3 linked regions of the Sus scrofa genome follow. The protein of the gene in region 3 purifies or fractionates together with the protein of the main gene of each other region. This does not show direct contact. Links are inferred from orthologs where the notes say so. Each region holds a gene or a part of one and is shown on either strand. Other genes may lie near its edges. The genes, in order: BRK1, CYFIP2 and ABI1.

Region 1 (3,501 bases), on a different chromosome or scaffold from region 3:
TTGTAGGTTGCACAAATGGCTCAGATAGCACATTGCTGTGGCTGTGGTGTAGGCCAGCAGCTTCATGCAGCTCTGATTCAACCCCTAGCCTGGGAACTTCCATATGCCAGGGGTGCGGCCCTAAAAAGCAAAAAAAAAAAAAAAAAAAAAAAAAAAAAAAAAAAAAAAAAAGTAGACATTTTCCTTGTGTTTTTTTTTTCCTCTGTAGGGCCAAACACTCAGCATATGGAGGTTCCCATATAGGGGTTGAATCGGAGTTACAGCTGCCAGCCACAGCCACTGGATCCAATCCTCATCTGCAACCTACACCACAGCTCACAGCAATGCCAGATGCTTAACCCACTAAGCGAGGTCAGGGATAGAACCCACAACCTTATGGTTCCTAGACAGATTCGTTTCCACTGTGCCAAACGGGAACTCCATATCTTGTACCTTTTAAAACTAACAGTCTACCCTGGATTGCAATTAAACCGTGTGGATGCTGTTATTTCAATAGACTGTAAGCATCATGCCTGATTCAACACTGTATCTTTTATTGGAATTTAAAGTGCCTACATAGTAAGTACTTGGCAAACGTCTGATGAATGACCAAACAAATTAGTCAGCTCCGAAGTCCAAATAAGGGGGCTCCAGCTGGCAAGCCACCTAGGCTTTGATCAAATAGCTACATCTAGAAGTTTTACAGTGGAGTAAGAATCCCACACATCAGATTTCTGTGGACGAGGTGAGCCCCATCTCTAGCTCCTCTCCCCACCACAATCACAGCAGTCAGATAAAGTTGAGGAGTTTATTAGGGAAATATGAGAGGCAAAGACACCCCAAGTGACAGAAAGAAAATTCTGAAAATGTCCCTTTTCAAGCCAAGTGGGAGGCCTTGGCCTCCCCAAATGGACAAGAAACTGGTGGGTTGGCAACAACATTCTCTGGCGGCCACCTCGCCAGGGTAGGAATGTCTTGGCCAGGACTGCTTCCCACCCCGACCAAAGGTGGGGAGGAGACAAAGACTGTGTATAGGATCAGTGCAGAGGCAATGAGAGCTGTAAGGAAAGGCTAAGAGAGAGAGAGAGAGATGGGGAGGACCTTGACAGAGTCCCAGGCTTTTGGCTCTTAGAGCCTCAAATTTGTTGACAAGGAGTTCTACAAAGTGTTACTGAAAAGGTAAAATGCTTAATGTTGTTTCCAAGAGTTTCCCTGGACTCCTCCCCACCTGCCTCATCACATTCCTGGGTGTACATCACAGAGCCCAAAGGCCACATTTTTGAAAAAAAAAGAAAAACAAGAATAAGCCCTGTTGTTCTTTAAGGAGAGAGGAAGGAGCTGAAGGCTGCTGGGGCCTTTCCCACGTGGGCCCATGTTCTGTAAAAGCAACTTCCCAGCAGCAGCATGGCACAGTTCTAGGTGAGAGTCTCACCTTTTGTCACCTGTCAAAGGAAAACTGACAATTAGACAAATTCAAAAGGATTAGAGGGGTCTAAAAAAATCTTATTTTATACCCTAGCTAGTTGGAAGTGGTAGAAAAGACGACAGCTTCTGAGTCCCAGAAAGCTGGCTTAAACCCAAGCAAGGTACTTAACTTCTCTAAACCTGTTTCTGCTTCCAACTTTTTTCAGCAACAAGTGGAAATATGCACGCCCTCCTGCACAGCCACTCCTGTCTCAAGAGGAAGACCTTCGCCCATCATACTCACCCTTGCTTCAATGTACTCTATTCTCCGTTCAAGAGCTGTCAATTTCTCGTTTAGTGTTGCGAGTCTTGAACGACAAGACATATCTGGTAAAAGAAGACTGGCGTTCAGGATTAATGTTATTCCAGAGACAGACACACACAGCCCCTAAGATGAAGAGGAGGAATGATGTATCATGCAGAGCACAAATGGGAGTGAGTGGGCAAAGTACAGGAGTGGGAGGATAAGGTGAGAAGTATCTTAGGAGTACAGCTGCTTAGAGAGGATCTGTTTAACTTGCTATGCAGTAGGCGGAGAATAACACTTCCCCCCACAGCAAGAAGTCCACTCCCTAACCCCCAGGACTTGTAAAAGCAAACGGACTTTGCAAATATGATTGAGGTTAAGGATCTTAAAGTCCTGGATTATCCAGATGGCCCCCATCTAATCACAAGTCCACAAAGGTAGACAGAAAAGGCTGAAGTAAAGCAGAAGAATGAGAAGAGATTCGAAGTGTGAGAGAAACTCAACCTGCCATTGTTGGCTTTGATGATGGAGAGAAGTGGCCATGAACCAAGGGATACAAGTGACCTTTTAATATGAGCATGGCCCTTAGCTGACAGACAGCAAGGAAACAGGGATCTCAGTCCTGCAGCTGCAGGAAACTGAATTCTGCCAATGACCTAAAAGCAAGGAAACAGCTTCTTTCCTAGAGCCTCCAGGAAGGAAGGCAGCCCTGCTGATACCAGGGTTGGGTTCTAATCTACACAACTCTAAGATAATATGTTTATGAGGTTTAAGCCACTACATTTGTGATAATTTGTTATGGCAGCAACAGAAAATAGAAAACTAATACGCCAAGGCTGTAGAGATGGCCATTTGGTAATAGGCAAATCAAGAGCTTCAAGAAAGGGGAAATGATAAGAGGAAAATAATCTCAATAGGGAAGAAAAGCAGAGGCCAAGGAAGCAGCAGACCCTGAGGAAGAGGGAACATGTGGTGTTTCTGAGCTCGTGGAAGCTGCATCATGACGGCTTTTCCAGGAGGGCACCTGATGTTTCATCAGTACCTGCATAGCCCTTTAAGAAGCAGAGGAAACTTGGAGAACATCGAACACCCTGTGCAGCTCACCTTCCATCTGCAAAAAATTCCTTCTCTTCCTCTACCTTTTCCAACCTCTTTTACCACCTCACCCAAAAGGAAATCTAGATGTCCCCTAAAATACTTTTTCTTCTGCAAACTACTCTAACAGAAATCACCTGACTAATCTTCCTCCAACTGTTCTCAACATCTGGGAGAAAAAGGTTTCCAGGCATGCTGATTATTTACACCCTCCTACAACACTGTTGTTCAGTCACCTCTCAATAATCCGCACTTCTGGAGCTCCCGGTGTGGCAAAACCGGATCAGCAGCATCTTGGGAGCTCTGGGATTCCAGTTCGATCCCTGGCTCAGCAAAGTGGGTTAAGGATTTGGCATTGCCACAGCAGCAGCTTAGTTCGAGGCTGAGGTTCGGATCTGATCCCTGGCCCAGGAGCTCCAGATGCTGCGGGGTGGCCAAATAATAATAATAATAATAATAATAATCCTCACTTCTGAGTTTAAAATATCCGTCTCCCTGACACTCCTACTTCGTGATCTAACACTTAGCTCACAACCTTTTTCATCTCTTCCTGGATATTATGCCAAAGTGCTTCAGCTCCCATTTTAACAAATCTTCCGCACCCTGATCTTGCCTCAACTTTCATTTCATCCAAGTCCAAATCTTACTCATCTCGTTTGTCCAACCATTCCCTTTTAAGGCTCAGTTCAGACTAGATCTCTGAGAGGTCTTTGCCA
Region 2 (3,749 bases), on a different chromosome or scaffold from region 3:
GAACAAGGCAGGCCTGGGTGCCTACAGAACCAGTCAGAACTGGCCAGGAAATATAATAAAGAAGCTTAGTGAACAGCACGCTAATGCCCCCAGCCAGAGGCTCAGCCTGCAGAACTAGCCAGGGGAACTGGCTTTGAGAGCAACAACACACTCTTCTTGTGGCCTAGTAGCTGCTCTGGCAGATGGCAGCCAGTGTCAACAAGTAACTCTCTATAGGTTTCACCTCTTCCAAATAGACACTGAGTGCTCAACAATGCCTTCTAGTGACAGTAACCCCTGACCAGTTACACACACACACACAGACACACACACTACTCCTATGGTATTTCTGCCCTTAAGGCCAAAGCTGCCCTTGCAGCAAGCAAACAGCACTGACAGCTGCTAAAAGCTGTCATTTCAGTGAGCTGTTCCCCAAAATTGCGACCCAGTTCCCCACTCCCACTTCCAGCCCACTGCCTGAAATTCCACCGTTAGAGATATGAAATATTATTTACTAAAAGCTTTGTTTCCCATTAAAATGCCTCTAAGCCTCTGTTTCCTTTCTGGTCAAATGACTTCTAAAGCACCTGCTCTGCGTCTAATGGGAAATTTGTTTGTATTTGGCTCTTTGAGGATAAATGCCTTCACTGGCTCCTTTCTTGAAAACAATTTCTGGCACAGGAGAATAGGGTGGGGGTGGGGGTGGGGGTGGAGCACAGGGCACTGTGTGGAAGCAGAGGTGAGCGGTCTCAGGAGGGATCGCAGAGAAGCTCTGATGGAGAAAACAACTTTCAAGGCCTTCACCACCCTGTCCAGGGATATGGACCTAGATTTTTGCCCTCCAGCAGCTATAATCTTCACAGCTGCCAGCATGGCTTGCAACAGCGCCTGTGCCCAAGAGTAAGGTAAGATCGACGGCCTCCCCACACCCCTCCTTTTCCCCCCTACCCACCCCCGTGCGCAAAAGTGACAGAGTCAGGAGGTGGGAAGGGAGAGGTGGGAACCAGCACTCTCCTGATTGCCCCTCATGCCTGCAGGGCTACCCCAGCCTTTCTGACCATGCCTCGAAGGCACAAGTGCCCAGAAGCCCACAGGAAAATAACCTTGTCCCTTTCTGGGCCCCGCTGTAAGGGGAGCTGAAGGCCCATCCATCAGTCCTTGGTGAGTCGCACTGCTATGGTGGGGAAACTAGACAGGCAGAGGTCAAAGTCAGATTCCCTGGGCTGAGCAGGGTACCTGGGCAGTCTCGGTGTCCTTCTCTGTCAGGTTTTCCAGACAGAACCTACTCCAGACCATGCTTCCCGCCCCCACCCCCACTGCCACACGGAGAACTGCCCTTGTATACCTTTTCAGATGATGCATACCCCTGGAGGGAGGCGGCTGTCCTGCAACGCAGAAGCCACTACAGAGCTAAATAAAACCCAACCTTTCCCCCAGGAATCAGACCACTCTTTCCCTTCCCCCCACCTCCTCCCCGCCCCCAGCCAGCCAGAGGGAGAGGATGCTAGGCCAGAAGGCTTCAAAGCGGGTCAGGCCTGCCTCCTCGCTCATTAAAGCCCCCCACCCCGAAACAACGCTGCGGAGACCCCTGCTCCACCCATCTCACGTTCACTACAGGGCGCGCTGCGTCCAAGGCGGCTGCCAGGCGGGCCCAGGCGGCTCTAGCTGGCCCTGGGGGAGGTGATGGTAGCTACAGCGGCAGAGGCGGCAGCAGAGGCGGTGGCCGGCGCTCTGCGGTACCTGGGCGCCGGGAGGTCGCCACCGCCGGCCTCGCGGCCGCTGCAGGTGCTTCAGATGCTCGACAGGAGCGCCGCTTCCTCCCAGGCGGGTGGCTTCGGCCCAGGCCGCGCACCTGCTGCTGCTGCCACCGCCACCGCGCCTCAGCTTCTCCATGCGTCGGTGCCTCCCCGAAGGCGGTCCGCGCCTCAGGCACTAGGGTGGGCCAAAGGGGGCAGCGGGCTGTGCTGGGCCCGAGGCCCGGCCTCTGGGAGCTTCTTGGGGCCCCCAGGCCGGGCTAGCCCGGCCGCCGCGCCGAGCACCCCCACGGCGCTGGGAGAAGGGGTGCGAGCCCCTCGCGCATCTCTACGGCTGCGTCGACATCCCCAGCAGCATCCCGGTCTCCACGCCGGCCCCGAGGCCTGCGAGCGCCGCTTACCTGGGTCTGCAGCAGGTCTAGGGGAGCTGCCCGAGGATACGGCGGGGGCCCCGCGCCGGGGCGCAGGATGCTCTGCCTGGCCCGGCTCGGCGGCCGCCGCGCTTGGGCCCGCCCTCGGCCCCGCCCCTCCATCCGCTGCGGCTCCTCCTCCGTTCCCCGCACCCCGCCCCTTCGCCGCCGCGCCTGTCACACAAAGAGCAGGAAATGGCTGCGGCCAGGGGCTCTGGGTGCGTCCCTCAGCGCGGCTGGCGCATCCCAGACCTGCACCCGGACCTCTCGCCCCAGGAGAGCCAGCTACATCGCTTAGGGAGGATTTTCCCGGGCCCCTCAGACCCAGGAACCACACCTGCAGCTTGTGGGAGGACTGATCCTTTGGGCTCCATTAGGATCTCATTGATCTCACATGATTTCCAAATGCATATTTTTCGAGCACTTCTTTCGTTCCAAGCACCGTGCCAGGAGCTGAGTATGCACTGGGGTATGCAAAAGACAGAGTCTCTGCCCTTCTGGAGCTTATCATCTATCAGGAGATACATGGCATAAATTAACTTGGCAAATGTCCAGTTTCAGCTAAAAGACCGTTTTGTGGAAAAAAAAAAAAAAAGAAAAAAAGAAACAGGGTGAAATGGTAGAAAATAAACCTGAGAGTTGGGGAGAGGGCTTCTGCCAATGGAGTCTGATCCCAAATGCTGCTCCTCTGTTCAAGAATACCTACTGGTTCTCTCTTTCACTTCCTTGGTGTGGAATCCCTGAAGCTGCCATCTCTTAAGCAGAGGCCTGCCTCAACTTCATTCAGGAAGAATTAATTGCCTAATGGACAAAAAGGCAAATCCATGATGACGGAAATTAGAGAAGGAATTGAGAGGACAGGCACTTTTCTCTTCAAGACTTATTTGCCATTTAGGGCCCTCCAAAGAAATGGTTCACATTGAAATGCATCCTGGCGGGGCCTCAAACCAGGTGGAAGTCAGACAACACCTAATTCCAACCTTGGGACCCCTGAGCAAGTCACTTCACCACTCTGTTCCTGAGATGCCACCACATCTAAAATGTGGGGAATAATCGTTGCCTTTCCTACTTCACAAGGTAAATGATTTGAAATCATTTGAGATGTTTTAAAGTTAGGGGGTAAAGTCTTGCTACAAGGGAACTTTCCTGAAATATATCTGAGGGGCTTGCAAATGTAAAGTTCATCACTCAGCTCTTCCTATCAAGGGTTATTTATAGAGGAGCCACATTACTCAACACTCAGCAAAGGACTTGTATAAGTCTTTGTCCTCGCTGATCTCACATCCTTTCCCGAGTGCTCAGGATTCATGATCCTTTGTGGTTTGATGTTACATCACTCATTCTAATTTAAATCTCTATTTCAGAAAGGATGACTTATGTATACATATACATTTCTGTCCCTGATGCCATGTGAGAAAGCTGTGGGGGTGTTTGTGGAGGATGGCTTTAAAAAGAGAACTGAGGTTTCCTTTTTTGTGTGTGTCTTTTTAGGGCCCCACCCATGACATGTGAAAGTTCCCAAGCTAGGGGTCAAATCAGAGATGTAGCTGCAGGTCTATGCTACAGCCACAGCAACTCCATATCCAAGCTGCATCTGCAACCTACA
Region 3 (3,649 bases):
TTCATGTCTGCTTTGTTCACTGATCTTTTTAATGAGGTTTTAAATACTTGTACTATGATTATATTGGACATTCATTTCTCAATGATTTCTTTTGATACTTCTGAGTACTTAGATGATTGTGCTGATTTCCTGTAGATGGAGAAGTAGAGTGAAACACAGAAACCACTTCTCCTTTAGGGTTAAAATTCGTATTGAACAGTTAAAAAATTTATATGCGTGCGGGTGTGTGTATAGACACACACCTGCACACATATTCACACAAAGGCAGACATGTACACTTATACATCATGAAAAGAGTATTTAGTGACCTTGAGTTGTTTTTGGGGGGAGAGGGGATAAATCTCTAGAATCGTTTTCATGAAGATTCTCTTTGCAGTGGAAGCAGTGGAGGCAGTGGAAGCCGAGAAAACAGTGGCAGCAGCAGTATTGGCATTCCCATTGCCGTGCCTACACCTTCACCACCTACTATTGGACCAGGTATATTCTCTACTAATATGTGGTAGCATTTATGAGCTTTATTTTAGAAGCCTAAAACAATTTAGTTATATTAGCTTAAAAGTATTCATTAAGTTTATGCAATTGTTAGAATGAAAACCAACAAATTAAAAAACAATTTTTCGGTTTTCCTGGAGTCTTTAGTGTTTTACAGCAATTTCTCCTTACTCATTAAAAAAAGCATATTAAATAGCTTTATTGAGTAATTTTTTTGGCCATTTCTTTTAGAAATACTTACCTTGGGCACTAGTCAAGAATGATATTATTTCAAGAGCAAAGCAATGTTGTTGATAATTCAATGAAATGATCAGTGTCTTTTATATGAATTATGAGTCATTGAGTATTGATTATGCTTTTTAGGCTAGTTTATCAACTATGGTGTTTGTTGGTTCTATGACTTTGCTACATTTGTGTATGATATATTTAATACATATTTCAGAAAAATGCCGTGAATATAAAGTTGATTAAACTAGGAAAAGCACTTTTACTTATATAAAACTTTTAAGATTGCAGAGTATAAAATTGGTCCCTTGATTTTTTTTTAAATTTTTTTTTTTCTTAGTAAATTGAAAGGATCTGTATGGTTTAAAAATAGACATTTTAAAAGTAGGTTTGATAATCAGAACTGTTAGGGAAAAAGTCTTAGGTTCTCAAGGATGTTGTTGAAAAAGGAGAAAAAGCTACTTATAAAAACAAGCATATTTTGTCATTAATGCAAGTGTGAACTCAATGGCCTTTTTACCTAGTGAAATTCTTATTCATTTGAACATGCTCTCTTTTTTTCTTCTTTCCAAAACATTGTACTTTCTTACTGTTTCAGAATGATTAGTTCTCTTTCTTGCACTCTGACCTGAATTATAAACTATTTCGTTAGAAAACATTTCTGTCCCTCCTCCTTCTGGAGCTCCACCAGCACTTCCTCTTCCACCACTTCTCCCAGTGAGCACTGTGATAGGTGAGACTGCATAACCATTGGAGTGATTGAACTCACTTTGCATAATTCACAGTAAACTCCTCTGTTAGACTGTTGGTTTTTATAGTTATTAGGTTGTAGGTGGTAATACAAAGTTTAAAGCATTAAATCTAATTCAGCACTAATTTCTTCTGGTGAAAGGCCTCTGAAGTTACACAGAAACGTCTCTGTGATGTCAAATGCTTCTATACCTAGTTTATAACCAATTTAATGTGGTTTACATTTGTTTTGGTTAGATTTTTCTAGGAGAATTATAGCAGTGATTGTTCAAAAAAATTTTTTTATTAATAATGCAATAATGCCATTTTTAAAAAGTGAAACTTGATTTGGAACTCCCTGGTACATACAGCAGTCAAGGTAGTTGTGTGAACGTGAGGGACAGGAGGAAGAAAAATGAAAAAGAAAATGATGTAATATGTGATTGCTCTGAGGCTTTCCTATGGATCTACAGTTGAAAAACTCTGATACAACCCAGTACTTATGGCATCTGAAGATGACATAAAAATTTTTTTTTCAATAAAATACATTTAAATTGTCCCCAAGAAATTCCAAATATAGACTCAGTATAAAACCATTCAGCCTAGAAATGCATGATAGCATTTGGATAGAAATGGATAGGGTTGTTTCAGATAATAAGAGCTGAGTTTCAGCTTAGGTGAAATAAAGTCATCTAGCACCTTGTTTTCAAAACATTGGCACATACACTCAGAGGAAAAGGAGGAAAAGGGAGTAATAAAAAAAAGCCCTAGTAATAGAAATTGTTGCAGAAATTCCACGTGAAAAGAAGATGCCCTCAATGTAATTAATAATCAGGAAAATGAAAATAAAAACTACAAGATGCTATTTTATATCAACCAACATGTGAAAATGTAGAAGTCCACCAGCACCAGATGTTGATGAGGATGTACAGTAACAGAAAAGTATGTTGCTGGTGGGAATTTACTACTTGATACACTCACTTTAGAAAATAATTTGTTACCTAGTCAAGTTGAACCAGGTTTCTATCGTATATTTATTAATTTCATTTCTAGGTATTTACCCTAGAGTACCGGTTCTCAAAATATGGTTATGGAACTCTTCCTGGGTGTTGCCAAGATCTTTTCATGGAGTTTTTGTAGTCAGAACTATATCCATAATAGTACTTAGACTTCTTTGCCTCTTTCATTTTGCATTCTGGTACAAACAGTGGAATTTTCCAGAGACAACATAACGTATGATATCATTTTTGAAAGCTAATGGGATGTGTTTGTGTAGTCATGTGTTTTTTTGGTTTTGTTTTTGTTTTTTAGCACTGCATTCGTGTGGCATATGGAAGTTCCCAGACAAGGGGTTTAATAGGAGTTGCAGCTGCCAGCCTACACCACAGCAAGGAGGGATTTGAGCCACATCTGCTGTGACCTACACCACAGCTCATGGCTATGCTGGATCCTTAACCCATTGAGCAAGGCCAGGAAGCAAACCTGCATTCTCAAGGATCCTAGTTGGGTTCTTTGCTGTTGAGCCATGGTGGGAACTCCCTTAATGTGTTTTAAAGATAAATCCGTTTTAATTTCTTTTTTTTTTGGCTTTTTAGGTCTGTACCCATGGCATATGGAAGTTCCCAGACTAGGGGTCGAATCGGAGCTACAGCTGCTGCCCTACGCCACTGCCACAGCAATGCCAGATCCAAGCCACATCAGCAACCTACTCCACAGCTCACAGCAACACTGGATCCTTAACCCACTGAGCGAGGCCAGCGATCAAACCCGTGTCCTCATGGATACTAGTTGGATTCATTTCCACTGTGCCATGATGGAACTCGAATCGGTTTTTTTTTTTTTTTTTTTTTTTTTCTTTTTTCTTTTTAGGGCTGTACCTGCAGCCTATGGAAGTTCCCAGGCTAGGGGTCAAATCAGAGCTGCAGCTGCCGGCCTACACCAGAGCTACAGGAACACCAGATCTAAGCTGGGTCTGTGACCTGCATCGCAGCTCACGGCAATACCAGATCCTTAACCCACTGAGTGAGGCCAGGAATTGAACCTGCGTCCTCATGGATACTAGTCAGATTTGTTTCTGCTGAGCCACAATGGGAACTCCTCCAGTTTTAATTTCTAATACGGTAATTACTATCACTATAACCTACCTCAACAAAGTTTCTTGAGGGTCTCCAATTTTAGAGTGGATCCTAAGACCATAAAGTTT

The links.
Region 1: the proteins of ABI1 (region 3) and BRK1 purify together in Homo sapiens (co-immunoprecipitation; 3 studies listed by BioGRID and IntAct, with this or other methods). This does not show direct contact. The link is inferred for Sus scrofa from reciprocal best matches to the Homo sapiens genes ABI1 and BRK1.
Region 2: the proteins of ABI1 (region 3) and CYFIP2 purify together in Homo sapiens (co-immunoprecipitation; 4 studies listed by BioGRID and IntAct, with this or other methods). This does not show direct contact. The link is inferred for Sus scrofa from reciprocal best matches to the Homo sapiens genes ABI1 and CYFIP2.

The regions. Positions count from the first base shown.
Region 1 is NC_010455.5:66,321,652-66,325,152, reverse strand, and holds the end of BRK1 (protein BRICK1), read right to left. Parts: intron 1,771-3,501; coding exon 1,688-1,770; intron 1,422-1,687; coding exon 1,395-1,421; 3' UTR 512-1,394; downstream 1-511. UniProt on the Homo sapiens protein: Involved in regulation of actin and microtubule organization. Part of a WAVE complex that activates the Arp2/3 complex. As component of the WAVE1 complex, required for BDNF-NTRK2 endocytic trafficking and signaling from early endosomes.
Region 2 is NC_010458.4:65,999,304-66,003,052, forward strand, and holds the start of CYFIP2 (cytoplasmic FMR1-interacting protein 2), read right to left. Parts: upstream 2,274-3,749; 5' UTR 2,135-2,273; exon of another isoform or gene 1,720-2,134; intron 1-1,719. UniProt on the Homo sapiens protein: Involved in T-cell adhesion and p53/TP53-dependent induction of apoptosis. Does not bind RNA. As component of the WAVE1 complex, required for BDNF-NTRK2 endocytic trafficking and signaling from early endosomes.
Region 3 is NC_010452.4:49,047,447-49,051,095, forward strand, and holds part of ABI1 (abl interactor 1), read left to right. Parts: intron 1-376; coding exon 377-477; intron 478-1,369; coding exon 1,370-1,450; intron 1,451-3,649. UniProt on the Homo sapiens protein: May act in negative regulation of cell growth and transformation by interacting with nonreceptor tyrosine kinases ABL1 and/or ABL2. May play a role in regulation of EGF-induced Erk pathway activation. Involved in cytoskeletal reorganization and EGFR signaling.